4 linked regions of the Arabidopsis thaliana genome follow. The protein of the gene in region 3 purifies or fractionates together with the protein of the main gene of each other region. This does not show direct contact. Each region holds a gene or a part of one and is shown on either strand. Other genes may lie near its edges. The genes, in order: AT1G60080, RRP4, AT5G38840 and RRP45a.

The links.
Region 1: the proteins of AT5G38840 (region 3) and AT1G60080 fractionate together in Arabidopsis thaliana (co-fractionation; one large-scale study listed by BioGRID). This does not show direct contact.
Region 2: the proteins of AT5G38840 (region 3) and RRP4 fractionate together in Arabidopsis thaliana (co-fractionation; one large-scale study listed by BioGRID). This does not show direct contact.
Region 4: the proteins of AT5G38840 (region 3) and RRP45a fractionate together in Arabidopsis thaliana (co-fractionation; one large-scale study listed by BioGRID). This does not show direct contact.

The regions. Positions count from the first base shown.
Region 1 is NC_003070.9:22,150,603-22,157,973, reverse strand, and holds AT1G60080 (3'-5'-exoribonuclease family protein), read left to right. Parts: upstream 1-3,330; 5' UTR 3,331-3,528; intron 3,529-3,621; 5' UTR 3,622-3,634; coding exon 3,635-3,794; intron 3,795-3,878; coding exon 3,879-3,928; intron 3,929-4,008; coding exon 4,009-4,078; intron 4,079-4,157; coding exon 4,158-4,263; intron 4,264-4,358; coding exon 4,359-4,425; intron 4,426-4,564; coding exon 4,565-4,640; intron 4,641-4,907; coding exon 4,908-5,215; intron 5,216-5,297; coding exon 5,298-5,369; 3' UTR 5,370-5,744; downstream 5,745-7,371. Other genes in the region: BGLU4 (beta glucosidase 4), read right to left, coding at 1-143, 224-350, 397-484, 565-596, 713-921, 997-1,112, 1,182-1,434, 1,514-1,601 and 5 more.
Region 2 is NC_003070.9:821,139-827,751, reverse strand, and holds RRP4 (ribosomal RNA processing 4), read right to left. Parts: upstream 3,236-6,613; 5' UTR 3,100-3,235; coding exon 2,939-3,099; intron 2,862-2,938; coding exon 2,760-2,861; intron 2,651-2,759; coding exon 2,605-2,650; intron 2,500-2,604; coding exon 2,410-2,499; intron 2,331-2,409; coding exon 2,265-2,330; intron 2,166-2,264; coding exon 2,097-2,165; intron 2,008-2,096; coding exon 1,573-2,007; 3' UTR 1,353-1,572; downstream 1-1,352. Other genes in the region: AT1G03365 (RING/U-box superfamily protein), read right to left, coding at 1-570; AT1G03350 (BSD domain-containing protein), read left to right, coding at 3,506-4,918; AT1G03340 (uncharacterized protein), read right to left, coding at 6,525-6,613. UniProt on the Arabidopsis thaliana protein: Non-catalytic component of the RNA exosome complex which has 3'->5' exoribonuclease activity and participates in a multitude of cellular RNA processing, maturation and degradation events.
Region 3 is NC_003076.8:15,547,896-15,556,487, reverse strand, and holds AT5G38840 (SMAD/FHA domain-containing protein), read right to left. Parts: upstream 5,246-8,592; 5' UTR 5,160-5,245; coding exon 4,804-5,159; intron 4,704-4,803; coding exon 4,618-4,703; intron 4,530-4,617; coding exon 4,450-4,529; intron 4,353-4,449; coding exon 4,297-4,352; intron 4,207-4,296; coding exon 4,158-4,206; intron 4,045-4,157; coding exon 3,898-4,044; intron 3,785-3,897; coding exon 3,689-3,784; intron 3,461-3,688; coding exon 3,347-3,460; intron 3,245-3,346; coding exon 3,111-3,244; intron 2,936-3,110; coding exon 2,685-2,935; intron 2,570-2,684; coding exon 1,781-2,569; intron 1,692-1,780; coding exon 1,642-1,691; 3' UTR 1,411-1,641; downstream 1-1,410. Other genes in the region: AT5G38850 (Disease resistance protein (TIR-NBS-LRR class)), read right to left, coding at 1-759, 856-1,301; AT5G38830 (Cysteinyl-tRNA synthetase, class Ia family protein), read left to right, coding at 8,394-8,566.
Region 4 is NC_003074.8:4,152,870-4,159,575, reverse strand, and holds RRP45a (ribonuclease PH45A), read right to left. Parts: upstream 3,523-6,706; 5' UTR 3,370-3,522; exon of another isoform or gene 3,246-3,369; 5' UTR 3,232-3,245; coding exon 3,095-3,231; intron 2,969-3,094; coding exon 2,759-2,968; intron 2,685-2,758; coding exon 2,589-2,684; intron 2,508-2,588; coding exon 2,393-2,507; intron 2,283-2,392; coding exon 2,202-2,282; coding exon of another isoform or gene 2,175-2,201; exon of another isoform or gene 2,112-2,174; coding exon 1,923-2,111; coding exon of another isoform or gene 1,887-1,922; exon of another isoform or gene 1,830-1,886; coding exon 1,734-1,829; 3' UTR 1,612-1,733; downstream 1-1,611. Other genes in the region: AT3G13000 (ubiquinone biosynthesis protein (Protein of unknown function, DUF547)), read left to right, coding at 1-244, 330-429, 518-577, 662-754, 846-965, 1,042-1,362; HAC5 (histone acetyltransferase of the CBP family 5), read right to left, coding at 5,081-5,198, 5,303-5,502, 5,741-6,127, 6,214-6,292, 6,618-6,706. UniProt on the Arabidopsis thaliana protein: Probable 3'->5' exoribonuclease involved in the regulation of cuticular wax biosynthesis. Can perform exosomal functions and partially complement the yeast rrp45 null mutant.

The sequences.
Region 1 (7,371 bases), on a different chromosome or scaffold from region 3:
AAGCAGAGAGTTTGGGAGATCTCTTGCGATGAGGATCGCTGAAATTGACAGTGTACAACCCAAAACCAACCTCATATCCCCCTAGAAGCTCGTATAAATCCATAAATGACCATACGAAGTAGCCTCTCGTGTCTGATCCATTCCTATACGTTGTAATGTATTTTTTCTTGATTACAATGATAAAAAAAAGTGAAGAGAAGAAGCAATAAGGAACTTTACTTACCTTATGGATTTGAGCACACCACCAATGTAGGCATGCAAGTATTCCACCCTTGGTATATCCTTCTGTTTCAGCTGCGAATCTTGCTTCATCGGTGTACCTATTTGTTGCCATTGGAAAGTGAATTTAGCTGAGGATAAAAAAAGAGAGAGATAGAGAGCGAGCGAGCGAGAGACCACTCTCAAGAATGTAGACAGGAGGATTTCCATAGCTCTGCTTTATATACTCCAGCACAACTTCCATAGCCCATGGAGTATTAGCATACTTGTTTAAACAAAAACAAAACAACTTAGTAACACTATTCTCTATCAAGACTAAAGAAATCTTAGCCTCAAAACTCCTACCTGAAAATCTAAACTTTTTCCAAAATCTGTCTCTCCCAAGAAAGAAAGAAGAAGAGATGATTAGCAAAAACAAGATATCATAAAAGAGAAAAAATCTTGTTTTGTTATTTAAAAGATTGAGTTTGATTCATACAATGAAAAGATACACCCATGTATGAGTAGAAATCCGGGTTTCCGGACAGAGAAGGTTTGGATTTGATGTTAGTGACAGAAGCCGCATGATAGTGTATGACTCCTACAAAGTCACATGAGCCTTTAACTTGTTCTGATTCTTTCTCAGAGAAAACTGGCAGTCTTGATCCAATGGTTCTTTTCATTGTATCAGGATAGTCTCCAAATAAAAGAGGTCTAAGGAACCTGAGTTTTAAAGAGTAAATCTTTTTTATTGAGATATGTTGAACAATATTTTGGAACAGTTTGTGCCTGACTCACCAGCCGACGTAGAAATCTTGGGCTCTTTGGGTTGCAGTGGCATCATCCTTGGAGCTTGTAGTAGGAATAAGCCCTAATATGAATAAGCTAAATCCTATGGAACCTCCCTGCTTATCCTGCATATTATATATACTTTATAGTGTGTTTCTTCTCACACATTCAAGAGAGGGTTATGTAATATATACCTTGTATTTTTGTTTGTATCGTCTTGAAACAGAGGCGTGCGCAAGCAACAAATTATGGCCTACAATATATGGTTCAATGGAAGAGTTCCCTGAAGAACAGTTTTTGCTCGGTTTGGAACAACGACCAGGCGGTGTATCCCCATCGTTGTAACCTCCTATAGAGAATATATTAGCCTCGTTGATCGTGGTCCATAGTTTGACATGGTTCCCAAACTCTCTGAAGCAAACATCTGCATAAGTAGTAAAGTCTTTGCTGCAATGGCAAATAACATCAACTTTTGTTATTTTATCTTAAACTACAAAATCTGTAAGAGAAAATAAGTAACGCCTACATCATTCTGTGGTTGAGCCATCCTCCATATTCATCCTCCAGAGACTGAGGATGATCATAGTGGTAGAGTGTAACATGTGGTTCAATTCCTGTAGTAAGTCTACTTAAACTCTAGTTAATACGAACTAAACCTAACTCTTGAGTCCTACCGTGGATATGAAGATAGGTCTTACCGTGGCTTACTAACTCTTGGATGAGGTTCTTGTAGAACTGTAGACCCTTTTGGTTAACAGGCCCTCTTCCATCTAATCAGATAATAAATTACGAACTGATCATAAATTTGATCCCTTCACTGAGCTATAACATGTTTAAGAAAACTTACTAGGTATTAGCCTAGACCAAGAGATGGAGAATCTGAAAGCATCTAAGTTAGTGTCCACCATCAACTTCACATCATCCTGTATAAATTCATAATGAAACTCAGGCTTGATGAATAAAACCTCATGATGTAGTCAGAGAAACAGAGAAGCTAAAGAACCTTGTACTTGTGATACCCATCACATGCTATATCTCCGTTACCTTGGTCACCTGCAATGTTAGAAACAAGAATCAAAGCACAAGAGTGACAAACTCTAATACTAATAATAGTTTGTGTTAAAATGAAAAGCTTACGAGAGTGACAAAGAGTGTCCCACAGGCTAGGTTTCCTTCCGTCTTCTGCAGCAGCTCCTTCCCACTAGTAGAGACCAAACATTTGGTTCAGTTTTGTTCAAAAGTTAAGAAAAAAGAAGCTCATAAATTGGTTCCAAACCTGATAAGCAGAAGTGCCGGCTCCAAAGACGAATCCCTCAGGGTAGTCAGATCTGCTGAAAACGTCGCTGCATTTCCCGGAGAAAGCAAAAGCAAGAAAAATGGCAAACAGAGCCAAAATCTGTTCCATTTCTCACACACACACACACTCTTTTCTTCGTTCCATGTTAGAATAAGTAAGTCCAGTAGCCATTTGCGTACCCGCTAGATATAGTTGTGACGTAGACATTAATGATGATGCAATTTAGATAAGAAACATATTGGGAAGTGTGTTGAAATGAATTATGGTCTTTATTTACTATGATAAGAAACAGATTACGCTGGATCGGAGCCCAGGTCTGACCAACCCAAATAACGAAAGAAACTAGGGGACCGGAAAACCATGCGGCTATGCAGCCCCAGCCCCACATATATGAGGGCTTTTGGGCCAAAAAAATATTTTTGGACTTTTTGTTACATTTCAATTTTTTTTGGGTATTCCTAAATTTTTGTTAATAGTATGGACTATGATATAATAACTTTTGAGGTATTAAAGTAAAAATATTTGGTCCTCTTATAAAGAAAAAAATATTTTATTTCATAAAACTTAATAATTATTACAAAGCATAAAATATTAAACATACATTATCTTAAAATTTTAAAATAGATGTGAAAAAAACGGAATAACGATAAGTTTTTCTGTTGATTGTTGCAAATTTCAATATACGAATACTTATAACGATGTTTTGAATTGAAATTTTCTACGAATACTTATAACGATATATATAGTAAAAGAGAAATTTCTTAACTTATAATTAAACACCATTAAGTAATGTATGGAGGATTAACAAAATTGGATATAAAACAAGAATGTATAATGTTCATTTTGACGCCATTTCTTCTTCTTCATATTTTACAATTTACACTAAACATTTTCCCAAATTCAGCTCATAATCAAGTGCGCCTCATATTTTCGCCAAATTCATCTAATTGAAAACCCAAATTTCAATATACTCATGTCTTGTGAAGCAAACAAATCTCTTATTTCGCATTTCTTTGGGCTTCGCAACATTATTGGGCTTTGTTTGGGGCCCATTTAGAATGAAGAAGTACTTTAGTTAAAAACTCAGATAAACCTAGCCGTCGTCACCGTCACCGTCTCCGTCGAAATCCCCATTACTTACGACACCGCGAGCTCTCAATCTTCTTCTTACACTCTATTGCTTGTGTTTCCTCTTCACTACAACAGTTTCGTGTACCAAAGGCAGTTCTTTCTTTTGTCCCAAGGTAAGCTTTGTGATTCCTTGAGACTGTGTTGATGAAGCACAGACTCAGAGACTTTTGGTTTATGATTCTCTTTATCTTTGTGACATGAAGCAGAGCTAAAGAAAACATGGGAATACCAGATGCAGCTCAAGACTTGTCGACAGAGATGGAAGTTGATGCTTTTAGAAGAATCTTCCCTCTTCGTTTCTTTGAGCGTCATCTCTCTGAATCTCTTCGTCCTGATGGAAGACAACTTGGAAAAGCTAGAGACACCATTGTTAATCTTGGTATAAACAATGAAGATTGATTCTTTTTAGTTTTTATCAAATTAAAAATGTCAACTTTATAGTGGTTTCTTGTGTTTGTTGTAGGACTTGTTTCAACTGCTGATGGGTCTGCTCTTGCTAAGATTGGTTCCACTGTAAGAACCCGCCTTAGTCGTTTCGATAGTATTCACATGATCAGCAATGTTTTGCTTACATAGTTGTTTCGTGTTTATAGACTATGCTTGCTGCTATTAGAATGGAAGTTATGACTCCTTCTACGGACTCTCCAGACGAAGGATGCATAGGTTGTTATCTCGTTGTCTTGTTCTCTATGTGGTTTGTTGTTCTTCTTTGGTGATTCATTTTGTGATTCCTTTTTGGTAGCTATTGAGTTCCATATGCCTCCAATTTGTTCTCCGACTGTTCGTCCTGGAAGACCAGCCGAAGCTGCTCCCGTTATTTCAAAGCGTTTGTCTGATACTATTTTAAGGTGTGTTTTGGTTTGATCTTTCTCTTTATATTTTCTCTGTCTCATTGAGCATCAAATACAATGTTCCTTCTAAAAGTGTTTCTTTTTTGTTCTAGTTCTGGTATGATTGATCTTAAAGAACTGTGTCTAGTTAGTGGAAAAGCTGCTTGGATGGGTTATCTGGTGAGTACTCGTTGGTCTTATATCGGTGCTTGTCCGTCAGTTGATTCACATCTATTCTTCTAGGGATCTTTCTCTTTGATATTTAACTGAGTTCTCTAGCATATATATGAACATTGTTGCTCTCTGAAATTTCTCATAGGACATATATTGCCTGGATGCTGATGGTGCTCTCTTTGATGCTGCTCTGCTTGCTGCTGTCGCAGCCTTCTCCAATCGTAAGTTCTTCTCTGTTCTCATCCTTTAGTTGGTTTCACAGCTCCTTTAGAGAACCTTTGAATAAAGCTGATTCTCAAGTTTATCAAATCCATTTCGAATATGAGTAAAAAGAGCAAGCCTTAGAGAACACTTAAATCTTGCTGAGTGAGTCATACCTGAGTAATATTCTTCCCTGCACAATAGCGGTTTGTTCAGAAGTTGTGTGATTGGTGTTCCGAGACAGAAGAATTTTTCCTCTGATGCATAAAATATCTTTTATATTGCAGTGCAAATTCCAATTGTTGCTCTGAATGACAATGGAAGAATAGTTGCCGTCACTGGAGAAAAAGATCAAGACAATGCTTTGATCACCGAGAAAGAAGCAGTGAACAAGGAGAAGAGAAAACTTACGCTTAAGAACATTCCTTTCTCTTTAACTTGCATACTTCACAAGAACTACATCTTAGCAGATCCAACAACCGAAGAAGAATCGATCATGGACACTCTTGTGACTGTTGTTTTGGATTCCTCGGATCAAATGGTTTCTTTCTACAAATCAGGAGGAGCTGCTCTCGCCTATTCATCAGCCATCAAGGTGAGAGTTTTAGCTTTCTCTTAGGTTAATCCACCACTTGATTTACACCGTTTTTTGTTTCTTATAAAGTTGCTATGCGCAGAGCTGTGTCGAGTTAGCAAGGAAGAGAGCAAAGGAGCTTAAGCAGATATTGGGAGAGATGGATATCGACTAATTTATCAGATGGAACGATTCCATAACATTGTTGAAATTTTGTGTTACATATTTTAATCAGATCACCAAGTTACCCATTTAGAGGCAAAGGAAGAAGCTCTTCACCATTTTTGTTCGATTGTGTTACGGTTTTGTTTGTCATATAACGACTTTAATTTAGTGCTAGTGTAAGTGTGAGATTATATTATCTCCATTTCAAACGAACCGAAATGTGCGTAAGCTGATTAATTTTACAAATGTTCAAATCAAAAGCAATTAACAAGTTTGTTTGTTGACCACCATCGCAAGTTTGTTTTTGATTAGGCTTTTCTGAATTTTTTTATGTTATAATGTAAGGGTATGTTAAAATATTATTCCATTTAAAAGAGGCATTGTAACAAGAACCATTCTGAATCTGTGAAAGAAATATTCCATACTAGACGAGGAAAGTCCTCGAGAGACTAATTAAATACTAAATAACATAAAATCATTCTGAATCTGTGGAAGAATCATATGCTAAGCGAGGAACTTCCTCCAAAGACATGAGACTCTCAGTGTGATTATGATAATAGCGGACCTCTCTTACATTTTTATGATTAAGCTTCCAGAATTCTTCGTCACCAATTCCTTCATATAATCATATTTGACCCTCCTTACTAGGGTTCTTTTTGGATCATAATATAAGACATAAATTGCTTCAGATGTTGTTGCAGCTGTATAAATAAACTCACCAGTGGATCATGAGTAATACCTCTCAGCCCCCAAGAAACTTTCCAGATCGGGTCACGTTGAGGAAATTTTCTAAGTGACCGTTCTTGTTTCTCTTCATCCTCCAAAACCCAAAATCATTTACCAGAGACGTCGTCAGAGCAAACCCATGCAAATTTTCCTTCGTAGTTGAGGAAAAATTTGCAAAGTAAATTATCAGCCGCTGATTTTCTTATTGTGTTGAACTTTTCGTACCTCACATCGAAGCTCATAAGGACTTTCTCAACTTCAGAACTATCATCGACTCCAAAAGGTATACTCGCTTCATAATACACTTCCCCGTTGATACATATACTTTGTATTAGTCCCTCGGCGGATAGAGGGACATGTTTAGGGGTATTTTGTGTCACTCTCCATGATTCTTGAGGTCCCAAAGTAAAAACAAGAGGATCTTGGTATCTAGAGCATGAGATGCACAAGACTTTATACTTACCCTCGACCGGATCATATCCTAAAGAGCTACATTCAAATGCGACTTTTGGTAAGGTAACATGTTGTCTCATGATTGGATTCCAAACTACAATATGCCCCAAGAATCTCCCAAACATATCAAGCCATGGACCGACTGGGACCATTCGTGATAATCAAATATGAGAGTGTCTTTCAGATAACGCTCCACATGTGGATAACATGATCTGTCCGGATTTTCATGTTGGGGCATTGCGCAGAAAATACGCTTGTCACTTGTTTTCACGCAGACCAAAAGACACAACCTAGTTGAAGACTGACTCGCGAACGACCTGATGAAATCTGGATGAGTGGTGATTGATGACCATAGCTAAGAGACCCAGTGGAACCTCGCAGCAGATTTAGCAGGAAGTCTCAAGAGTATATCAGGAATTAGATCAAGAGGAATCATCTCGAGAAACTTACAAAAACTCTCATCTTCTTTAGATTGTATACTTACTTCCCTATCTTCCGCCTCTTCCTCTACTCTATCCATTGGCGTCGATCCACTAGTTTTTTTTTTTAACCCTAATTTTTCAACCCTAAGTTTTTCAAACCATTATAGTAGTTGTCATCTCTGGACAAAAGGAACAAGTCAATGCATCGATCACCGAAAAGGAAGCATCGTACAAAGAGAAGAAAACTGAAGATTAAGAACATCTCTTTCTCTTTAACTTGCATACATCATGTTCAAGAACTACATCTTAGCAAATCCAACGACCGAAGACGAATTGATCATGGACACTCTAGCTAGTGACCATTGTTTTAAAAACCATACTCAAAATGTATTAAAAAAACAAATAAAAGAA
Region 2 (6,613 bases), on a different chromosome or scaffold from region 3:
CCTGACCTCCTTAATAAGACTTATCATTTCTACCAACGTATAGGAAACAAGCTGTTGTAAATCCTCAAACACATAGTCTCCTGAACCAGCACCTTCGTCTCCAGTCTTGAGAGCACTCAAGGTGTTATTGACAATGTTTGACAAAAGATTATTGCCTCCACAGTACAGCCTACAGCGTGATACAGCTTTCAGAACTTCGTCATCGGTGTAGCCTAAATCAATAAGCTGCTTCATTGTATCAAGGAAGAGCGTGAGCAAATTTGACGACAACAATTCTTCAAGATGACAGGCAAATGGGTCATCCCATTCGACAGATTCAGACACTTCAACTTGCAGCTGATTAGAAACTTCCCCAACCGATCCATTTCCGCTCAAATGGTTCTGAGGTTTCAACGAAGGTAACTCATATGGAGGGAATTCAGTGAGGGAAGAAGCATTTGGTTGAGAAGGATCAGCTAACTTTCTCTTGTTTTTCCTTCCTTTTTCCTGAGGTGACACTGTAAAGGCTTCTACTTTGTCAACATTGAGACCACATCCATTCATCTCTTCTTGCTTTTGAACTATACTCATCACCTTTTTAATCCATTACACATGAACGACTTAAGTTAAACACACACAAAAAAGCGTAGAACATAGATACGAAATTGTTTCATATGCAAAAACCATTAAAGTATCAAAGATGTTAGACCAAAATCATCTAAATTATCTGTATACATGCAAAAGAGAGATGATTTCATCTCCTAGTTGTAGCTTTCAGAAACGTGATTCAATCGCCTAACTAATGCAATCCCAGAAATACGCCAAAAAAAAAAAGTAAACTTTTTGCCTAGTAAATGTACAGAGATTCCTCAAATCTAAAGCGTACTACTTTCTGATTAAGTGCTTAATCGCAATGCAATTCAGAACCGTTACTGAATCGAAATTAATTAAAAACCCCAAATAATCGCACGATCATTCAACCCACAAACAATCACGAATACACCAAAATGGATTTAAAAAAGGCCGTAAACTGACCTTCAACGAAGACAATAGCGACTTTAAGGAGAACGGCGCCGGAACAAAAATAGCGGGAAATAAGATCGGTAGCGACAAACAGAGAGTGAGAAATCGAAGAAGAAGAATATTGTTTTGGGAGTGTGGAGCGAGCGAGAGAAATTGGCCGTAGAACACTGTTTCGTGAATGAGAGAAGAGGTTTGGTAATCGCTGTTATTACTTGGATTCTCATGAGGGTATTTTAGTCATTTCCCAATTATCCCTTCTCCGAGCTAAAAAGGGCAGCGAATCTTTTCTATGTTGTTTCTGCAACTGTAGATCCTTTCACAAAACGAATTTCAGCTACAAAAGTCGAAACCGATAAATTCATGAATGAAAGAAGAAAGCCGTCTCCAAAAGACATAACTCGACTAATCTAATCTGATGTACAGTTAATAGTATCAAACACATCCATCATACTACATATCTCAATCAGATTAAAATTCGAACTTTCAATAGAAGCTGAGTAACAAACAAGACCGAATGATCTAATACACGTTACAAGTCTCTGATACATCAGTGACAAAAAGGGGTAGTTTTCACTTTTTCCTCTTTGTACGTCTTCTTTCAGCTTCATTCTCTGCTACCACAACGTGAAACTCTGATCCAAGCATATCATGTATGTCAATATTCTTTGAGTTACTGAGGTTAACAGTCTCCATGATTACTTCTAGTGTCACGGTGAAGCCTAGATTAGACAAGACACGTATCGCATTCCCGATTCTGCATATGGTTTGTCGAGTCTCGAGTGGAATATGGCTTTGCTCTTTTCCTGTGGAGGAGGATGAGATCATTTCCTCATCTTTCTGATCATCTATTGCCATAGGATCTCTCACTTCGACATGTTCTCCAACCCATATGAAACCATTGCAGCCAATAATCAAATCAATCCCAAGACTTTCTACGTAATGAAAGTGATGTTTGCTTCTCTTAACCAAGTAAGGATCGACCTTCAGAAGTTGTCCCTTCTCGAGCTGTAGCGATTCATGGATTAATCAATGTTCAGAGGAAGAGACTAGCGAAAGGTATAACTACATGAGCATGTGACCAAATGAGAACCAACCTTGCCATACTTCTGACTTCTGGCTTGTAACTGCAAGCTACCATCATGCTGAAAGTTGCGTACTTCAGCCTAAGAGTTTGAACAAACCAAAGAGGGAACCCTTTTAGTCAGGTTGACGTAACTGTTAAGATATGTAAAGATTGGAACATTACTAATCACAGGACTTACACATACGACATCATGCTCTACAAAGATATTCCGCATATTGAGTTCATCCACAGAGGTTCTTCGCCTCTGGCAACAACAATAAACTTATATCATTGAAGCCAAAAGCAATCATCCAAATGGCAAAATATCAAGAATCAAACTGTACCTGAATACCATCAGGCATGTTCATGGAAGAAAGCATCAGTACTCCATCCTGATTGAAGTTGAGCTCCACTCTCCAACGTTTTTGAGCAACCTGAATAAGTAAAGATCAATCCAGTAACTGTGCAATGTGATTGAAACCTTTATGTTACTCACTCAATCCGATTTCAAAAATCCAAACACCAAAACAAAAATCTACCTCAATGACACGGCCTACCACAATATCCCCAACTTCAGGCTTGTACCTAAAACGTAGATCATCAAAACCATCAGTTCTACTTAATCTCAGAGTAGAGAGTCCATTCTATTCACATTTTCTGGGAAACTAAACAAATTCAAAGATCAATCACAGACCTGGCTCGCAAGGTGCGTACATAGACAAGCTTATCCACACGCTCCACTACTCCACAGACCGTCGCGAGCAACTCACCATCGACCTCGGAAGTTCCATGTCCCCTTTAATGAAAAAACCAATCGTGAAAACGCAATTTGACAAAAATTTCAATCCAGAAGGGAGAATGAGATGAAATTACTTGAGGAAGGCATCGTCATGGTTGACGGGAATAGAGTCGGTGACGATAACAGAAGCGTCAGAGTTAGCCGACGACGACAGTGATTGAAGCCGCTCGATTGCTCTCTCAAACCTAACCTTCTGCGTCTGGCTCAACGGTAACTGTAGCTTTCTCATCACCATCACAGACACTCTCTCTCTTTCTCTCTATTTAGCTCCAGCAACACAACAATGGCGATGCAAAACGAGTTTGGGACTTGGGAGAGAAGAAGAGCAAAAACCTTGACGTTAGTTCCCTTGAATGAATTCTAGGGTTTTGTGTTATTTGTTGGACTAACATATCCAACTTCTGGCCCATTTATAAAACTTCTGGCCCATTAATCTGATAATTGACGCCAAATAAAGTATTATTTATCTTCATTAAAAAAATGGGAAAAAAATTAGACGTCTCTGCAGCGACAAGCTTCAAGTCTTTTGTGATCTTCCTATTTCTGACGCTAATTCGAATCCTTCACTCTTCAAATTGATTCTTTCACGGATCAAACAAATTATCTGAGAGTACCGATTGGTAAGATCTGAGCTTTACGCTATGAATTTCTTCAAATCCGTCTTCACGGAAGACCTAGATCCTCCAGAAACCGAATCCGAATCCGATTCACCGAAACACAGCGAAGAGCATGAACATCCAGAGCAAGAACATCCAGAGCAATCTGAATCTAACGACGACGGTGGATGGAGCTTCGGTGGTCTGATGAAAACTCTAGCCACCAGATCCGAATCCGTGATTGAAACCTACCGACGAGATCTCGAAGAATTTGGCACAGGTTTGAAGAAAGAGATCGAGGTGGCTCAGGGATCGCTTGGTACGGTGGGACATGCGATTGATGAGCTTGGGAACACGGTGCTAAAAGGTACGGCTGAGATTATTGCTCAAGGTAAGGAAGCGATTTTAGCCGCTGGTAATGAATCTGATTCTTCTGATAACAATAGTAGTCAGAGTTTTGGTCGTCGTGATAGCTTCAGTTCGAAACCATATAGTCGTTTCGATGCTCAGATTCGTGCTGTTCAAGGAGATCTCAACACTTACTGTGAAGAGCCTGAGGATTCAGATGATTACAAAAAGTGGGAATCTGCGTTTTCTCTGGATGGAAAAGCTGAGGAGATGGAGAAATTGTTGGAGGAAAATGGTGATATGAAAGGAGTGTATAAAAGGGTCGTTCCGAGTATGGTTGATCACGAGACCTTCTGGTTTAGGTATTTCTATAGGGTTAACAAGCTCAAGCAAGCTGAGGATTTAAGGGCTAATCTTGTGAAACGAGCCATCTCTCTGGATGATGAAGAAGAATTGAGCTGGGATATTGATGATGAAGAGGAGAGCAGCGAGAAAGTTGTTGAAGCTACCAAAGATGTTTCAAGGTTGAAACTTGAAGGGAATGATGGTATGGGTGGTGGAGATGTGAGTGAAACTGTGAAAGATGAAGTGGAAAGTACATATTCAGTGGCTAAAGTGAGCACGCAAGATGAAGTGACAAGTGCAGATTCAGTGACTGAAGTGAGCAATGTTGGTTTGAAGACAGATAAAGATTCTGAGGAAAAGAAGGAGACTGATAGTGAGGAAGTTCCAGAAGAAAAATCATTTGTTGATGCTGCTCCTCCTGCGTCTGATGAGGCTCCAATCCAAGATTCTGTCAAACCAACATCTGATGAGGCTCCAATCCAAGATTCTGTCAAACCAAAATCTGATGAGGCTGCTCCATCCCAAGACTCAGCTAAACCAGATGTGGCTGCTTCTTCATCAACTCAACAACCATCTGAAGAGGATTTGGGATGGGACGAGATCGAGGATATGAGTAGCATAGATGGTAAGGAAACGAGTCGGTCTGGTGGTAGTCCAAACAGAGCTGAGCTGCGTAAACGTCTGAGTGCTGCAGAGGAAGATGAAGATTTAAGTTGGGACATTGATGAAGATGACGAAGAAGAATCATCATCATCCAAAGCTTAATGTTAGTTTTAAAGTGGTGTGCTTTCTTACTTTTGCCAATCCTTTTACTTGTTTTTACAAGTTTCTGGCGCTTTGCCCCCATTCTTCAGTTGTTTTTCTCTTCAACGTTTCTATTTTACATTGATTTGAAAATATGTTTTTAAATTTTACTTGAGAAGGTGGTTTGAGGAAAGTTTGAATATATTCATCTTGCGATAGTCATTCTCTCCAGTTATTTTGAGTATATCAATCAACTGACCCCTGCGAATTCGGAGCTTTAATTGTGTCAAAATTAATCTCAATTTCTGTCCTTTGTGAAGAACCAAAAAAGTTAAATATTACAAATTGTAAAACTTTTAAAATTAAAACTTCTTAAAACGTTTTAATATTTATAATTTTAAAACTCTTATGAAGTTTTATATAATATATATATTTAAAAATATATTAATACGGGACGATATAATACAATATATTTAAAACTTTTTTGAAGTTTCAAATATTATATAGATTTGAACTTTATAAGAAAATGACAAAATGATGTTTAATTTCACAGAACTAGGATATATGGTGAGACGGTTTGGATCAATATTAATACGGAATGATATACTATGGTAAAATTCTAAAATTAAACAAAATTTACAATATTAATACAAAAAATAACTTAAAATTTCAGAAATTTAGTTATATAAATCATTTCGAGATGTATCATACATAAAAAAAAGCAATAGCATATATCTATAAATCATCTTTAAAACAAAAAAATAAAAATTTTTGAGAAAAATATAGGCTCGTTGTGTACTTCTTAATATGTTTATCATTTATAAATACTATTAACTAAAATAAAATCTTTAACTTGTTAACAAAAATATAAATACGTTGTGTACCCGGATGAATATCTAGTTATTAACAAAACTGTACCATTTGTTTTGTAGAATTTTACTTATTATTTTATTTTTTGGACCAAACCAACTTATTATTTATTGGCATGTCTAGTTAGGGAAAATGTTTCAATTGAACATGTACCGTATGTGTGCATGTATAAATAGAAATTTTATGATTGGATTTTAATAATGCAACGAATCGATGTGAAACTATTAGTGTAAAACCACAATCGACGTCCTTTGAGAATTTACTGGTAAGAAGAACACAGAAAAGGATAGAAAAGGATCTGGATGGATCCAAGAGAAACCCTCGCGTGAGTAATTAACCCTCACTTAAACCCCAATCACCATTTCAAGGCGAGAAAGCAAGTTGTTTCTTGAGTAATCCAAGTTGTTTCTATTTTGCGATTTTAACGGGTCAAAGATTTGCTCTAAGGGAAGGAGGTAGAACAGTTGGAGCCGGTGTGGTATCAAAAGTGATGAGCTAAGTCGCTATAGCAGATTTAAAAGTTCTTCAAACGAAAAAACACAACTGTTCTCTAGTATCTAAAGATTCATCTCTCATGAGATTTCTACTACTTTGAGAGTTTATATCAAATAAACGAGAGATTAGTGTTTTAAAAGAAAAGCTTCTCCCAGTGTGATATCTTCACTTTATTCTACAACCTAACATTGACAAATTAACCTTTAAGCAAGCCAAAGAATGGAGTTAGAAACTAGACTCCAAATCATCAGCATTCCAACATTCAACCAAACCTAAGTGCAACCATGGCAATAACTGTGGCAGCTCTGAAGTAAACTTCTTTGATTCTTCTTTCCACTTTATTTGAGACTT
Region 3 (8,592 bases):
CTAATTTCTAGTCTGCGAATTAAAATTTCCCACTCATCCTCAGTTTTCCCGTGTAAAGATGAACCTATGACACAGAGACCCAATGGAAGATTACCACAAAGCTCTGTTACTCGTTCTGCAAGCTTTAGAATCGTATCAGGTGCAGAGCTTTGTCTAAAAGCACATCTGCAAAAGATCTCAAGAGCTTCTTTTCTAGATGGAAAATCCACATGGTAGACATTGTTAATATCATGTTTCTGCAAAAGCTCGTTGTCTTCTGTTGTCACGATAATCCTACTTCCAGGACCAAACCACGTTGTCTGATCAGCCAAAGCATACAAATCGAGATCATTAACATCATCTAGAATGATAAGCACTTTTTGGTCATGTAACCTATCTCTTATTGTGCCTAAATGCTCTATCCTCATACCCTTTTGGTTCATAATCTTTGAAAGAAGTCGTTCTTGTAAATCTAACTTCAGACCATACTCGTCAAGCCCAATATTAAGACTTCCCCTAACATTCTCCATAAAACAACTTCGCTGAAAATTGCTAGAGAGTAGGCTTTGTAAAGCACGAGCAATGGTAGTCTTACCGATTCCTGCAGGGCCACAGATTCCTACTATCCTCACTTGCTCATAGTCTAGGTATAGCAGAGAACTTAATTCCCTAATGTGAAACTCAAGTCCCACAAATGCATCAAAATCTTTAGAAGGTGTAGCATTCAGTTTATCTGAAACATCTTTGGCTATCTTTTCAATCATATCCGCTTCATTTTCCCTAACAAGAGAGGAAACAAAATATCAGATAGGCGTTATAAAGTGATGTGTAACTTAAAAGAAAGCCCCAAAATTAGTCGATCGAAAACAAACAAACCATTTCAGCGAGTGTTCTCCAGCTATGTTGCCAACAAAAATTAAAGCTTGGATCCATCTCTGCCTCTCCTCCTTAGTTTTACTTTTACAACTATTTTTGAAGGCCTTCCCAAAATCTCCGGTCTGTTTCCGTACATCGGATGGATCTACTTCATAGAAGATCGGCATCACTACGTCTTTGCATTTCAAAATCTCCACCAATTCATTCAAGCACCAACTCGAAGAAGCATAGTTCTTTGAAAGAACCACAATCGATATCCTAGATTCTCTAATCGCTTGTATGAGAGCAGGGGCTATGGTTTGGCTCCTCTCGATTCCTTGATCATCAAACATTGTAATCCCATTTGAGTTGAACTGCTTACGTAAATGAGAGAGAAAAGTCTTACGAATATCTCCTCCATGGAAGCTCGGGAAGACGTTGTATCTCCAAGTTCGAGCAGAAGCCATAGGAGACGGTCGTGAGAGATTGCGTTTGGATAAGCTCTATGAATGGATCAAATGATAAGGCTTATTCATTTTGACTTTTCGGAGAGAAAGAGAGAGACAGACGTAAGTATTGTTAATTGCCGCACCCTAATATAAAATAAATTATGAGATAAATCACAAGTAAAATTTCCGTTCAAAAAAAAATATATCAATCAGGAAAGCTCAGGGTTTAGAGTATGAATTTACAAAGTACTGTGTGACCAAGAAATCACCAGACTGAGTGATGCAAAACTTGACAGATATTTAAGCCACTTCTACCTCTCCTCAATCCTATAGTTTGCTCTGGAAACTCTATCGCTGATCAATATCCCAGACGGTCATTTAGAGATGTTCGCCCATCACCAGATTGTCCTGCACATTTCAAGTCAATACATTACTCATTAGCCACTTTCTAAAACGGGATTTGATTCAATGTGTTTCTAAACATGGCGTTACTTTACCTGCAGGAGGTACCCAAGAATCATAATCTATGGTTTCATCCAGATATTCTGGTTTATCAGGACCAACTACTTTTTTAGCCGTCTTCTTCTTCTTCTTCGTTTTACTTTGGCCACTTCCTTGATTATTTTCTTCCTGTTTACTGAGTTCTTTGTCTTCTTCGTTTACATGATGGCCTACAGAATGTTTCAATAAGAGAGCAACTGCATCCTGTGCCATGACCTCTGCTTGCTTTTCCTTTGAATCATCATCTTCTTCGCTCTTGTCTTCTTGCTTACGTTTTCTTATTATCAACCCTGTTACAACTTCAACTCCAGCGGTGGCTGTTAGAGCAATATTCTTCCTATTTTTATAGTCGACAAACCCATCAGCATCCTCTGTGCTATCAGTAGTAGCAGCTACTATCTCAGGGTTTTTTTCTTCAATTATGGCTTTATTTGCAGCGGAACCGAGCCATTGGGGTTTTGATGGAACATACACAGTGGTCTTCTTTTCTTCAGCTGTTTCACTTGCTTTATTTTCTACTTCAGGCTTATTTTCTGAGTCCACTAAATCTTTGGCCACTTCTTTCTCCTTATGCTCATTAGGATCAGCTTGTTTTAAAGGTATATTGATCTTCTTTTCTACGGAAGGTGTTTCAGATTTCTTTATTTTTAATTCTTGTGACTTCAACTCCCTTTTCTTAACCTCTTCTCCGGTTGGGTCAGCAATCTTTAGAAGGTATAAGATCCTACTTAATTCTGACTGTAGAGTAGACAACTCTTGCTGGATCTGGGCGGTTTTATCTTGCACTGACAACAATAAGAGGAAAATTTCTTGACATCAGTAAGAAGTTTTTCCTAGAAGTGAACTACAGCGCAGATATAAATTTTTACGACACAACAAAAAAAAAAAAAAGTAAATTACCAAGTGTTGTAGAAAGCCCGGTCATGTATGCATCAAGGGCATCAAGGGAGTCTCCCGATGTAACCTCTGTGACATTCTCTGTCTCCATCTTACTCTTCTCTGTTAAAAGCTGTTCATTCTTTGCTTCTATTTCTTTCAAGACATTGTCTCTCTTATCTACAAGTGAATCAACAGTTTCTACAGTTTGGTTTTCGCTGCCTTTCTTTGTTGATGGTTTCTTCTGGGTCCGGTCATAGAAGTCATCTTCATCACTGAAAATAACATAATTTTCCTTATGAGAATCAGAAACAACAGACACAAGCTATAGTTTTGCATGAAGATGTAGATATAGAGGTTGAACACTTGAAGCAGCCTTTAACTGAAACACAGGTAAGAATACTACGAGATCCCTAAGAGAAAAAATAGCTGAGACACGAGAAAGATTACCTCGACAAGTCTTCCTCATCTTCTACAATTCCTTTCTTCTTTCCGTGGGTGGGTTTTCTCCCTGTTTTGGCACCCAAACTTTCCCGGATGCTGTCATTCAGTGTCTCTTCCAAGTTCTCAAGTTCTTCCAGAAGCTATCATAGAGTTAATTGAAATGGAAAGTCTAATCAGATAAAGAGTTTTGCAGCCAAAACTAAGATTGTAGTAAGGACACTTCAGATTAACAAAGTGGTTACCTCAGCCGTTCTCTGCTCATTCCTAGCGATCTGCGTTTGTTGTCCTTGTGTCAATCCACCCTGAGAAATGTCTTTGGCTCGAATAGCTGCTACTTCCTTCTTCATATGGCCGATCTACACAGAAGTAAACATCCCTATAAAGATGAAGCAAAGTGGACGTAGTCTAAAAACATCTACAATGAATAAAGGAAAGTTGGAATAGTCTATAAATTATAATGAGCATCCGAAGGGAGAAAGAAAGACGGAAAAAAAGAAAAATATAGAGACTCAGGTCACTAAGAAGTACCAGCTAAATATATGATTTTGCATCGAAAAAAAATGATTGGGAACAAAAATACTAACCTTCTCCAACCGTTTCAGTACTTTCTCCTTAGTTTTTTCTTGCTTTGGAGTGAGTTCTCCACTATATGTTTGCCAAGTAATTTCCTCAACATCATCCTTCATGTCCAAATTATAGAAAAAAAGGTCGTTCAGAAAGATTGATTACAAAAATCCTGGAAACGTGAGACACTTAGGTCCACAACACTAACAGATAAAGTTGTAATTATTACCTCTTCTTCTTCAATAGCATCTTCCCCCATGCCCCATGAAACACCATCAGCCATGGATGCTTGCTGCCTTGCTCGTCGCAGTGAAGCTTCTCGTTCTGACATTTCCATTCTCATCTTTGCTTCTCTAATTAATTGTAAGTCTTTCTCCTAAAAATCAATACCACAAGTAGATTAAAGGTGCATCAAATAATTAAGGGTAGATGCCAAAAAATTACTCTAGACCAAAAATTAGATTGTGTAAAGTAAAAAGTGTATCTTACTGGTGGCATTAAGTCCGAGGGTCCTTGGAAAATGTATAATCTAGTCGAACTACATAAAAAACAAAAGAAAGAGCTCAGGAAAATCAAAGCAAAAGCTACCAAGATAATCATCATGAGCTTAACAGAGATATACACTCACCCGCCAAAGCGAATAACATCACCGACATTCAAATCCACAAAAACCTTTTTATCCACCTGCAAAAACCATAAAACACAGATAGTAAATTACTATAAGTCAGTTCATCAAAGCTCAATCAAGAGAATAAAAATGTCAAAGCCACAAATAAAGCACCTTATTCTTGTTAACAGTTGTTCCATGCGTGCTTCCAAGATCAAATATATACGCAGCTCCACTCCTCTTGTACTGAATAACTGGCAAGATTCATTACAAAACAATGTAATCCAAATTGAAAGTAATAACACTATGATATGAAGTATGAACAATAAGATAATCAATCACCTGCATGAAACCGAGAAATCGAAGGGTGCTCAAGAGCAAAATCACAGATACCATCACGTCCAAACAAGTAAGCTCCTTTCTTATAGCTGCAAAGGGAACAAATACGAATTACATACACTTTCCTTCCTAATTCAATCAGAAGCCTTAAAGCTTTAGAGGGTAATAGATTCATAAGAGTTTACTTACACGTCTAATTTCTCAACAATGGCGCCTTCTTTGAGAACTTCAAGCTGAAATTGGTGACACGGAGGGCCACTCCACTCTGGAATAGTGTAGGGGACAGGATTCTGCTTCACGGTTCGGGGACGAACTGGTTTATCCGCGTCTACAGTGACGGAATCGTCCTTGGATTCCTCTATTGGCTCGGGCTCTACAACTACTTCCGTTGTCTTCAGATCAGGTGGGTTAGGGTTTCTGGGAGGTGGAGGATTCATCGTTGAGGTTTCATCGCTTTGGGAAATTGATGTACTGTTTGGTTCAGGAGGCTCGATATCATGGCTAGGGTTTCGCGGTGGAGGAGGATCCATCGCCGATGTAGTCATTGGTTGCAGAGAGATTAGAGAATTCAGAAATTTGGCCGAAGAAAGAGATCAGTGAGGCGGCAATTGTAACTCGGATCGGGTACGGGTTTGAATCCGGGTTGTAATTTGGGCCGTTTACTTTATACAGTAGAAAATGCTATAAACTAAACGGTAAATAGATGTACAAACGGCCCGGCCCGTCTATTAGAGCCCAGTTAGGCCCGTACCGTTCGTCCCGAATTTTTCAATTTTTAGGGAGACATAATTGTTATTATGTTCGGATTCAAAGATTAATTCCATAACTAACATGTGTATATATTAATTCTCAAACTTATTGTTGAATTCTTTTTTCTTTTGACATATTTACTTTGAGAAGGTCGATTTATAATTAATTTCTACTATGCAAAGTAACGTGATTTAATAGAATTCAACTTTAGTAGGAAAAACGGATTCAAATGGACTTAACCACTTGATGAAAGACACATCCCCATTTATTGTTGAATTAACAAATTTAAAATTTAAAATACATCAACGCATAATTAATTAGGACGTTAAGTGATTTGATTAGAAACAAAAACAAAACCTAAAGTTCTCAAGTCTTTCCTAAAAAAAAAAAAAAGACGATAACTAGGCAATTATCTCTTTTAACACTAGCATCATAATCATCAGATTCCACTATCTTTCTCTTCACCTTCGGTTTCTACTATTTCGTATTTAACTTGGACTTTCGATTTGGAAGCTTACACATTCTACAATACGCACGCCCTACGAATCTTTGGTACTCAGTTTATAAATTTACACACTATAAAATCGATGAAGACTATGCAAATTTGAACTTTATAGATCTTTATTTTGAGAAAAAATCGCCTAGGATTCAATTGTGTTTCAATTTAGGAAAAAGATTTAGGAATTCTTTGGATTTATTCTATTTGTAATCGAAGTACTTAACGTTCAATTTTATTGTCTAACGTTGAATTTTTTAAGTCTAGTTTTTGTTGATTGGACACCAAATTAGAGAATTAATGTGCACACAAGATAGTTGGAGAATGAATCTCTCAATTGCAAATACTCAAAGAATTATATGAGCTTTTTTCCAACTATCTATTGCTTATTTTTTGGCTACAAAAAATCGTAAGATAACATCTAAATATATGCTATATGTCTTATAATTTCAAAATAATTCATATTGCAAAAATTAAAATCCATTGAGTTCAAGTGTTAGAATCTCGTTAATTTAGTTACAAGTCTTAATATTATGATTTTGTTATATACTTAAACTAAAGATGCTGATCTCTTGTAATAATATTATTATCTTGTTAGTTCAGTGAAGAAATACAATTACAAGACATCTCTTTCAACAGTGAATCTTCATGAAAGAAATTAGCAATCGCCATTATAATTTTGACCAAACTTTTCACACTCTTGATTTATTATTGTAAATTAAAGTTTTTGTTAAACAATAAATTTTATCTCAACAAAAATTAAAAAACAAAAATGTTTGAAAAGGTACATTAAATCCCTCATTATATTACTTTCGGATTTTTATATCTAATTCTTGTTGACTAAGCCAAAAAAGGATAAAAATGATAGTGATAGTAAAGATGAAGTTATATATCAAAGCCTACAACTCCAAAAAAAACAAAGATAATCAAGTTTCTTTGTTTGTTTATTTTTAAGTCGGAGTATTTTTATGTTCTATATCTAAGGTATCATTTGTGTACTTTTTTGCATATAGGCTCACAAGACATGTTAGTTATATAGTCTTAAAGAGAAACAATAAAAGTTCTAAAAATATTGTTTCACATTTAAACCAACAAATAAATTACCAGAAAGATCACGGTCGTCTCTCCTTTTTAGCAGATGTTCCCTTGCATATTGAAAATAATAAAATCTCTTAGGTATTTCAAGGTTTATTTTAGGGGATACAAAAAAGATAATAAACACATATAGATTCATTAGACGTAATATATGATTGGTTATCTTCATACAATATTATTGTTAGCGATCGATTACCAAAGAGAAAGTAATAATTTTTAAATTTTTAAATTTGAATTTTCCATAACTATTATAATATATAATTGGTTATCATAATACTGAATTTTTCAATTTTCCATAATTTTAAAATATATTACTAATAAATAAATAAATAAAATTAATTTTTTATTAAAACAAAAATTACTTATTAAAACCACATCTTAATTTATAACGGAAAACAAATACTTGTGTTGATGAAATTTTTCTGATTTATGTTGATCCACGAACACAAAAGTCATTTGAAGTTTTAAAGTAACAAAATCGTAATTTTGATGGTTTGTGTGAGTTCAAAACCATGAAGGTTGAAAGTGCATGTGGTTGTTACTTTGAAAGTATTTTATGTGATTTTCACAATCTCTTACTAATAAAAAATGTTCATTGAGGCTTGTCAATCTGTACAAATTAGAAAGAAAAAAAAATTACAATGAAAAAAACCAAACATAGATAGATAAAGGTGAAAATTTAATATTATATTTAAGTTTATACTATTAAAATGTTAAGAATACATCACATGACGTTTTTCTATGCATAGTAAAAAACGTAAAAACAAATAAAAAGACTTAGTAAACTATTTCAAAAACATCAATTTTTAACATAAAACCGGATGTAGTCCAGACTAATTCCTAATATTCTAGTAAGAATTGGTAGTTATTTAAACTAGTTAAAAAATTTCTCCTATAGGATAACGTCATGACAATTTCGTTTATAATAAGTAAGAATAAGGTTTCTTTAAAATAATATGTTTACAATTAATATATGTAAGAGATTTGAAATTGAGAGATTAATTCCACAACTATTGTATACACATATTATTAATTTCTAAACATCTAATGCGTTAGCTTAAAAAATCTCAAAACGTACTACGTTTTGTTACATTAAGTTTGTATATTTTTCTATTTGGTTAATTGAACTATTACATTGAAAGTTTGAAACTGTATTAACCTCATCTTTAAAAACAAATCTTAATAACACCTAAATTATCCGAATAACCCGAATTCCACATCGACAAAACCCCGCCAATTCATCTGGCTACCGTAATTGGTTGGGCCGACCCTCAGACTTAGGCCCGTTTTAATATTGAAATCTTCAAACACGAAAGAGAACTGTTGAAAAGTAAAGTAACAACAGGTCGCATAAGTTACCAAAAACAATTAAGAAAAAAGGGTTTTTTCGTTTTTGTTAACTTCGCCGTGTAGTTGTGGTGGTGAGATTGTGAGAGATATGGAGGCGGAGAAAATGGAATTGAAGCTCTACAACACGATGACGCAACAGAAAGAAGTTTTGATTCCAATCACTCCTGGCAAAATCGGATTATACGTCTGTGGTATCACCGCTTACGATTTCAGCCATATCGGCCATGCTCGCGCCGCCGTTTCCTTCGATGTTCTTTACAGGTCTCTCTCTTCTTCTTCCTCTCTGA
Region 4 (6,706 bases), on a different chromosome or scaffold from region 3:
GCTCAGCATCCTGGTGGCCTTCAACAGAACGGTCAATGATCTCCTCATGGGTGCAAAGCCCACAAATAGATATCCAAAATAACGCCAATGTTTTGGCCACAGGAGATGTCTTTGATCCTTATAGAGTTCGTGGGAAGTTAAGCTGGGCGGAGATTGGGAACTACAGTTTGGCATCCGAGGTTTCTTGGATGTCTGTAGGGAAGAAACAGCTGGAGTATGCTTCCGGGGCATTGAAGAAGTTCAGGTAATAGAGTTTCCTTTTTTGTGTGTTTCAATCCGATTGAACAGTAAGACTCAGTTTACATAACCATGGTTGATTCTGTGAACAGGACACTGGTTGAGCAATTGGCTAGAGTAAATCCTATTCATTTAAGCTGCAACGAGAAGCTTGCTTTCTGGATTAACCTTTATAACGCGTTGATAATGCATGTAAGTTCCTTTTTCCCCTATACTTATCAAGAACTATTCTGAATGAAACGAAAGCTTATGAGAGTTATGGTTGTTTATGTGAACAAAGGCTTATTTGGCTTATGGCGTCCCAAAAAGCGACCTGAAGCTTTTCTCGTTGATGCAAAAGGTTATATCACTTGACAGAAGGTTGTGTTTTGTTCTTCTCATTTCTTTGTTGCCTTATTTGATTCCTTTTGTACTGGATCCACAGGCAGCCTATACAGTTGGAGGGCACTCATATACTGCGGCGACAATGGAATATGTGATACTGAAGATGAAACCGCCTATGCACAGGCCACAAATTGTATGAGCTTTGAACCCAGCTTCTTCTGTGAGGCTCTTCTTTTCTCCTCTTTCAGAGTCAGTTAAACAATTTGCTCTGTTTGCTGATGCAGGCTTTGCTTCTTGCCATCCACAAGATGAAAGTATCAGAAGAACAGCGCAGGGCAAGCATTGATACACATGAACCTCTTCTCGGCTTTGCTCTAAGCTGTGGAATGTACTCTTCACCTGCGGTAACTTAACTAAGTAACAATCTGCGTTTCCAAAAGTCATAAACAGTCATTTTCTTAACACGAAGAGGTCTTGCAGGTGAGGATCTACTCTGCGAAAGGAGTGAAGGAAGAGATGCTAGAAGCACAAAGGGACTTCATACAAGCATCGGTAGGGCTGAGCAGCAAAGGGAAGCTCTTACTACCCAAAATGCTCCATTGTTATGCCAAGAGTTTGGTGGAGGATTCGAACTTGGGGGTCTGGATATCAAGGTACCTTCCTCCACATCAAGCTGCTTTTGTGGAGCAATGCATCTCTCAGAGAAGACAAAGCCTTCTCGCTTCACGGAACTGCGGAATACTCCCCTTCGATTCTCGTTTCAGATACCTGTTTCTCCCCGACGACAACACCTCGTTGTAATAACAGTTCAAAGACTCTCTTCTGTTGTAAAAAAAGCTTTAACCGACCTCATAAGAACGAACAGTGAGAGGAGGCTGTTTCATGATCATGGTTACTACTATTATTCCAACATAGCTTTTGGCTTATAGTGTACATGTTATTCAGGATATGCATATTAATTCTGAGAAGTCTCAATATGTTGTGTTTCAACTTTCTTTCAGAAAGACATAAATGGAAGAGTTGAGACTAGTCATCTATTTAAGTGCGAGAAGTCTCAACATGTCTTGATCATATCGACGTTTTTATAGCTTAGTGTTGCTGATAAGATTTCTACAACTAAAATCTTTATTTACAATCGACGACCACAGCAAATGTTTTATTTATGTCTCTTCCTACACAACTACAATAGGTCCCAAAACTTCAGACTTAGCCAAAGTATGATGCCGCTTCACCTTCTGTGAGCTCCTCTCACGGTTGTATGCTTCAACCTACACCATGAAAACAAAGCACAACAAAATCAAATCCTTAAATCAATAGAAATCAATCTAAAAAGGAAAACGCTCCGGATTACGAAACCCTACTGCATCTCTAATTATCTTTGTTGTTGCAGAAGCTCTTGAAGAAGCAAGACGCAGGCAATGAAGGATTACACTCTGGTTCACGCCTTCTTCTCCTGGTTTTTGGATTGCGCATATATCGCCATTGGCATTGACTGTCACAGTCATTCTCCCACACATAACAGCTTCTTCAACGTAAGTTGGGTCCATCACCTGCATAAGAACACAACACACTTGTAATCTCAGATGCAAACAAAAACGTAGTAAACAAGATTATCAATAAACAAAACACAATTTTTTTACCAAGATACTGCCTTTATTAAAAAATCCAAACGTGAAGGCTATTGGGAGATGATGTATTATCAAAGGAAGTGGTTCCCTTTCCTGTAAAAGAAACCAAATATAGTACAAAACAGTTGAAGTTGAGAACTTCCTTCTCTCTAGTTATTAAGTTCATCAACTAAACTGAAAAAAAAAAAATATGAATTACTAACTTCGGGTGGATGTATGATCACGTCTTGACTGTTGTCCCCTCCTACAGTGCAATCAGGTCTCCTGAAAGTCATGAGTGCGGCTAAGGCAGCAACATTAGCAGCATCAACCAAGTTCCTGTAAGAGAGTGAGTAACAATATACACATAAAAGATCATTCTCACAACAAGAACCTTGGATAAACATGAAGAAGACCTACCCTCCATTGTCCAAAATGTGAAGATCAATGCGAACAGACCAAACCAGCTTTCCGGCTAGAACACAAAGCGACTCTGTATCTACTGCACGGCTTTCTCTGCAACCAACAACACAAAGACCATCAATACAAAAAACTTTGTTTGTAGCATCAAATCAAAAAGAGAGGTTTACCGTAGAGCACGGTCTATAATACGGCCAAGCTCAACAGCAGATTCACCAGGATGCCCTGGCTCAAACGATGGATCAGCCATTGGAGAAAACTCGGTGAAGATAGAGAAGGAGCCTTCACTAGGTCTGTCTTTGTAAGGTTGTACTAGCTGAGCAGTCACAAAAGCCATTACATGAGTCTGACCCAGTTGAACTTGTGAGCTGCCATATTCCCTATCGAAAACTCACACAGATTAAATTAATCATCAGTAACAACATTGCAAAACCAGAGATCAAAAGCATCAACAAAAATTGAAGCTTTAAAGGTAAACATAATCAATGAATAGGAGAAAAACTCACTTGCCAAACTTAATAGTAAGCTTGCGGTAATCATAAAGGCCACGACCATCGACTCTGAGCTCAGATTGCAACGCAGATTCAACGAATTTGCTCTCATTCACAGTCAACCTCCACATATTATTCAACCTCCCCTCCATTGTTTGCTAGTGAGCTACTACCACAAATTGATGATTGAGAAACAAAACAAGATACAAAAAATCAAAACTTTCAGAATATAAAAAAGCCTAGAGAATCAACATAAGCAGCTTTCCCCAGAGGGAGATTAAACCACTAACCTTCTTCCGTTCAGCTAGGGTTTTGTGGCGCGAGGATTTTGTGAACAGAGAAGAGGAGGGATTTATTTCAATTTAACCCCTCGTCTTTTCAGTATTTGTCTTATGGACCAATTTTCATTTATCTCTTTTTTTTTCCTTTTAATAATATTTGTTTGATGGAGGGACCGTGTCTAGTCCTTCTCTTATCAAACGACTGACCAGCTCTTATCATTGGCCCCGTTACCCTAACGGTCACAAGGGTTTTCGTCTGTTTGATACACCCAGTCTTGTCTATCTTGACTATTCTGGTTATCCCGCAGAAGATTATGAGGTTGATTTGGGTTCCCTTGTAGAAGCTACACTCATGGGAGCGTCTTCCAGATGACTATTAATTATTATGTGGATGGTGATACAGAGGATATTGTTGGTTATGTTACGAATCTGGTTGCAGGGATAAGCAATGTTAAAACCCTTCACTTGTCCGCTGTTTCTCTTGAGGTCAGTCTCTGCTACGTCTTCTTCTTCTATTGGTTGATTCTATTTGAAGTGCATGCTAGCTAGCAAAGTCTCATTTTGTGTATATGTTTGTTTTGGTTGTGACAATAGATCCCAGGTATTTTACTCGTGCTGTAAATCAATCCCGGTGTTTCCCAACCTCGTTACTTTATCTTTTGAGTGTAACAAAGAAAGAGGCTGGTAAGTGGAGCCACTTCTCCTTAACTACTCTCCAAATCTAGAAACTTAAGTCATCAAGGTATCATCTATTTCGTTCGATCACCACGCACTTCTGTTTCTTTGCTAAAGTTATTATTCCCATGAATTTGCTTATGCCTTGTTCTTTTTGCTTTCACGGTCTTGTGCATGAAGTTACAGACAAACGTGGTGACGCCTGCGTTTGCACCCCTAAGAGGGATAAGAGGAAGAGCTGAAACGAATGAGGCATTTCTTGGCAAATTTAAAACGTCTTGAAACTGTCAATGTTAATGTCGAATTGAGTGAAGGCAAGGATGTTAAGAAAAGGTTCCTGACGATCACCAATGCTCTTATGAAGCTTCCCAGAGTTTCATCAAACTGTCTGATCCATTTCACCATGGAATGTCTAGTAGGTGAATTCTACTACTTTAGTTTGGCAGTGTATTTTTTGTTAATTTCATTGGCTTTCGCCGTACTAAGATCATTTCTATATACATTATAATGGGTTCGTTGCCTAATGACTCCAAAATGCTTCGGGGTCTTGGTTTCGTTCAACTGGATAAACTCTAGTATTCTAGTTGAATATAAAGTAAAAACTTGCATTTCCAGTCTAGTATATGTAATGATTGAAAATCAAGAATTTATTAGCTTATAGCTTTGCCAAAAATACCACATATACAATACGAAGGAATCAAAGAGTAAGTAAATTAAGATCAAATTCAGTAGTCGAATTCAATAGGATTCAATGAACAGAATCACCAAAAATTGAATCAAAATCACAATTCCCTTATACACATGTCTATACTTTAGAATACATGTAAGAAAAAATATCTATGTACCTCGTTGTGAACCTAAATTAGCAGTTGTGGAAGAGACCCATCTGCTCATTTTCCCATGAGCTCTCCTAAACTAGCTTCTTGAATCTCCAAATTAATCAGCCAAAAATATCTCATTCTTTCTTGATTCGCCTGCCATTTGGATCGTTACTTCAGGCACGAACCCTTGACCCCATAGACAGAGAATATAACATGTCTGTTAATCATTCAGGAGTGGAGGCCGTTGTATCAGCGGCTCTCTGCCGCACCATCTCCATCACCGCTGCTCTGCGTCTTGAATCTGCCTGTTGCTGCTTTCTACTAAAATGAGCTCTCAACTCTCTGCAAAAAATAAACTTGTCAGATCATTATTAAACACATCACCTTCTTGAACAAATCTATTCTGATAATTGAAAATTTGCTTTATAAGTAGTTAGATTACATACCTGCATTTGGGGACTTTGCATTGGGGATCTCTGCAGTTTCGGGAGTGCAATCGGAAGAGGGACCACATTTTCTTACAAGCGATGCAACCTCTGGTCTTGCAGACAAGACCATGCCTAATGAGACCCTTAATCACGCGACACCTTGGATACTGGCACTGTGCAGTGCAGCATGTCATTACGTGTAGCAGCACCTCTCTTAACTGCAGTACCAACAAGCCAAACCGTAGTTAGCAATAAGGAAAAGAGAAGCCAAGAGATGCAAACTCAATTTTCTAACCGACACTTATCTAGCTACACAATATTTGAAAGGAATTTTGGTAAAAATCCTAAAAGGAGTTGAGCCTATCTATCTTTCCAGCTTTGACAAGTGAATAATTATGTATGCATATGGACATCAATTCTATGATCAAAGCTAAAAAATTGAAAGAAAAGGAATACCTGGGCATTCTGAATTTGATTAGTTTGTGTGTTCTGTACAACAGAATCTGTCGCAGATGGACGGCTAATGATGCTATGTGGATGGTTGATGCCTTTTGAGTAGCAAGCATTGCAAACATCATAGTCAGGGCAAACTTCGCAACGCCAACCTTGAGCAGTTTCAAGTTCTTGCTGGCAGATGGCGCATGCCATTGCAAATGCAGGGACGGTTGGGTTGTGAAGATGATAGAGAATCATCATGGAAGAATGTTTTGCCCGTCTTAGTGTGTCGTACTGATAGTGATTACCTTGGCAAAGACTCAGGAAAGCTTGCCTAGTATCAAAGAACTCGCTCTCGAGGATGTCATCATTGTCCTTAATTTCAGTAGGAATGTTGTCAATGGCAACCTGCAGAGACCAAAACCTTGTCATTTTCCAACCCAACAAGGAGGGAAAACAAAAAACTTTAGAGCCCTATCGCGGTAGAAACTTACAGGATATAATACATGCTTCTCCTTCTGATTGACGGGATGCTTTTCCTTTTCCACACGGTTCTCTTCCACTTCATGACACCTGTGGTAAACGAAAAGCTTGAGAGATACAGCCAAAAAATGTATATATACTTCACAGGCACACCTGTCAATCTAACCTAAAAAAAAAATCAGAATACACCAAGTGCTTAAAAGCTAACATTGTCTAGCTCCCATTTGAAAACTAGACAGTCCCTCCCGCAAACGTACTAGAATACTGCTATTTAGTTAAGTGAAGAAAAATCTGTTTGCTGGATATTTTAACAGTCTATGGGAAATTCTGAATTTATATCGCATCCCAATATAGTTGATTTAATTAAACTATACAAGTATCAAATAAACAAAGCGAGCCGATAAGTAAAACTTACTTGTCACAAATCTGAAAATTCTTACACTGGTTACACACCCAACGATTTCCAGATACCATGAGAGTACAACAATGCTTACAACAATGTTG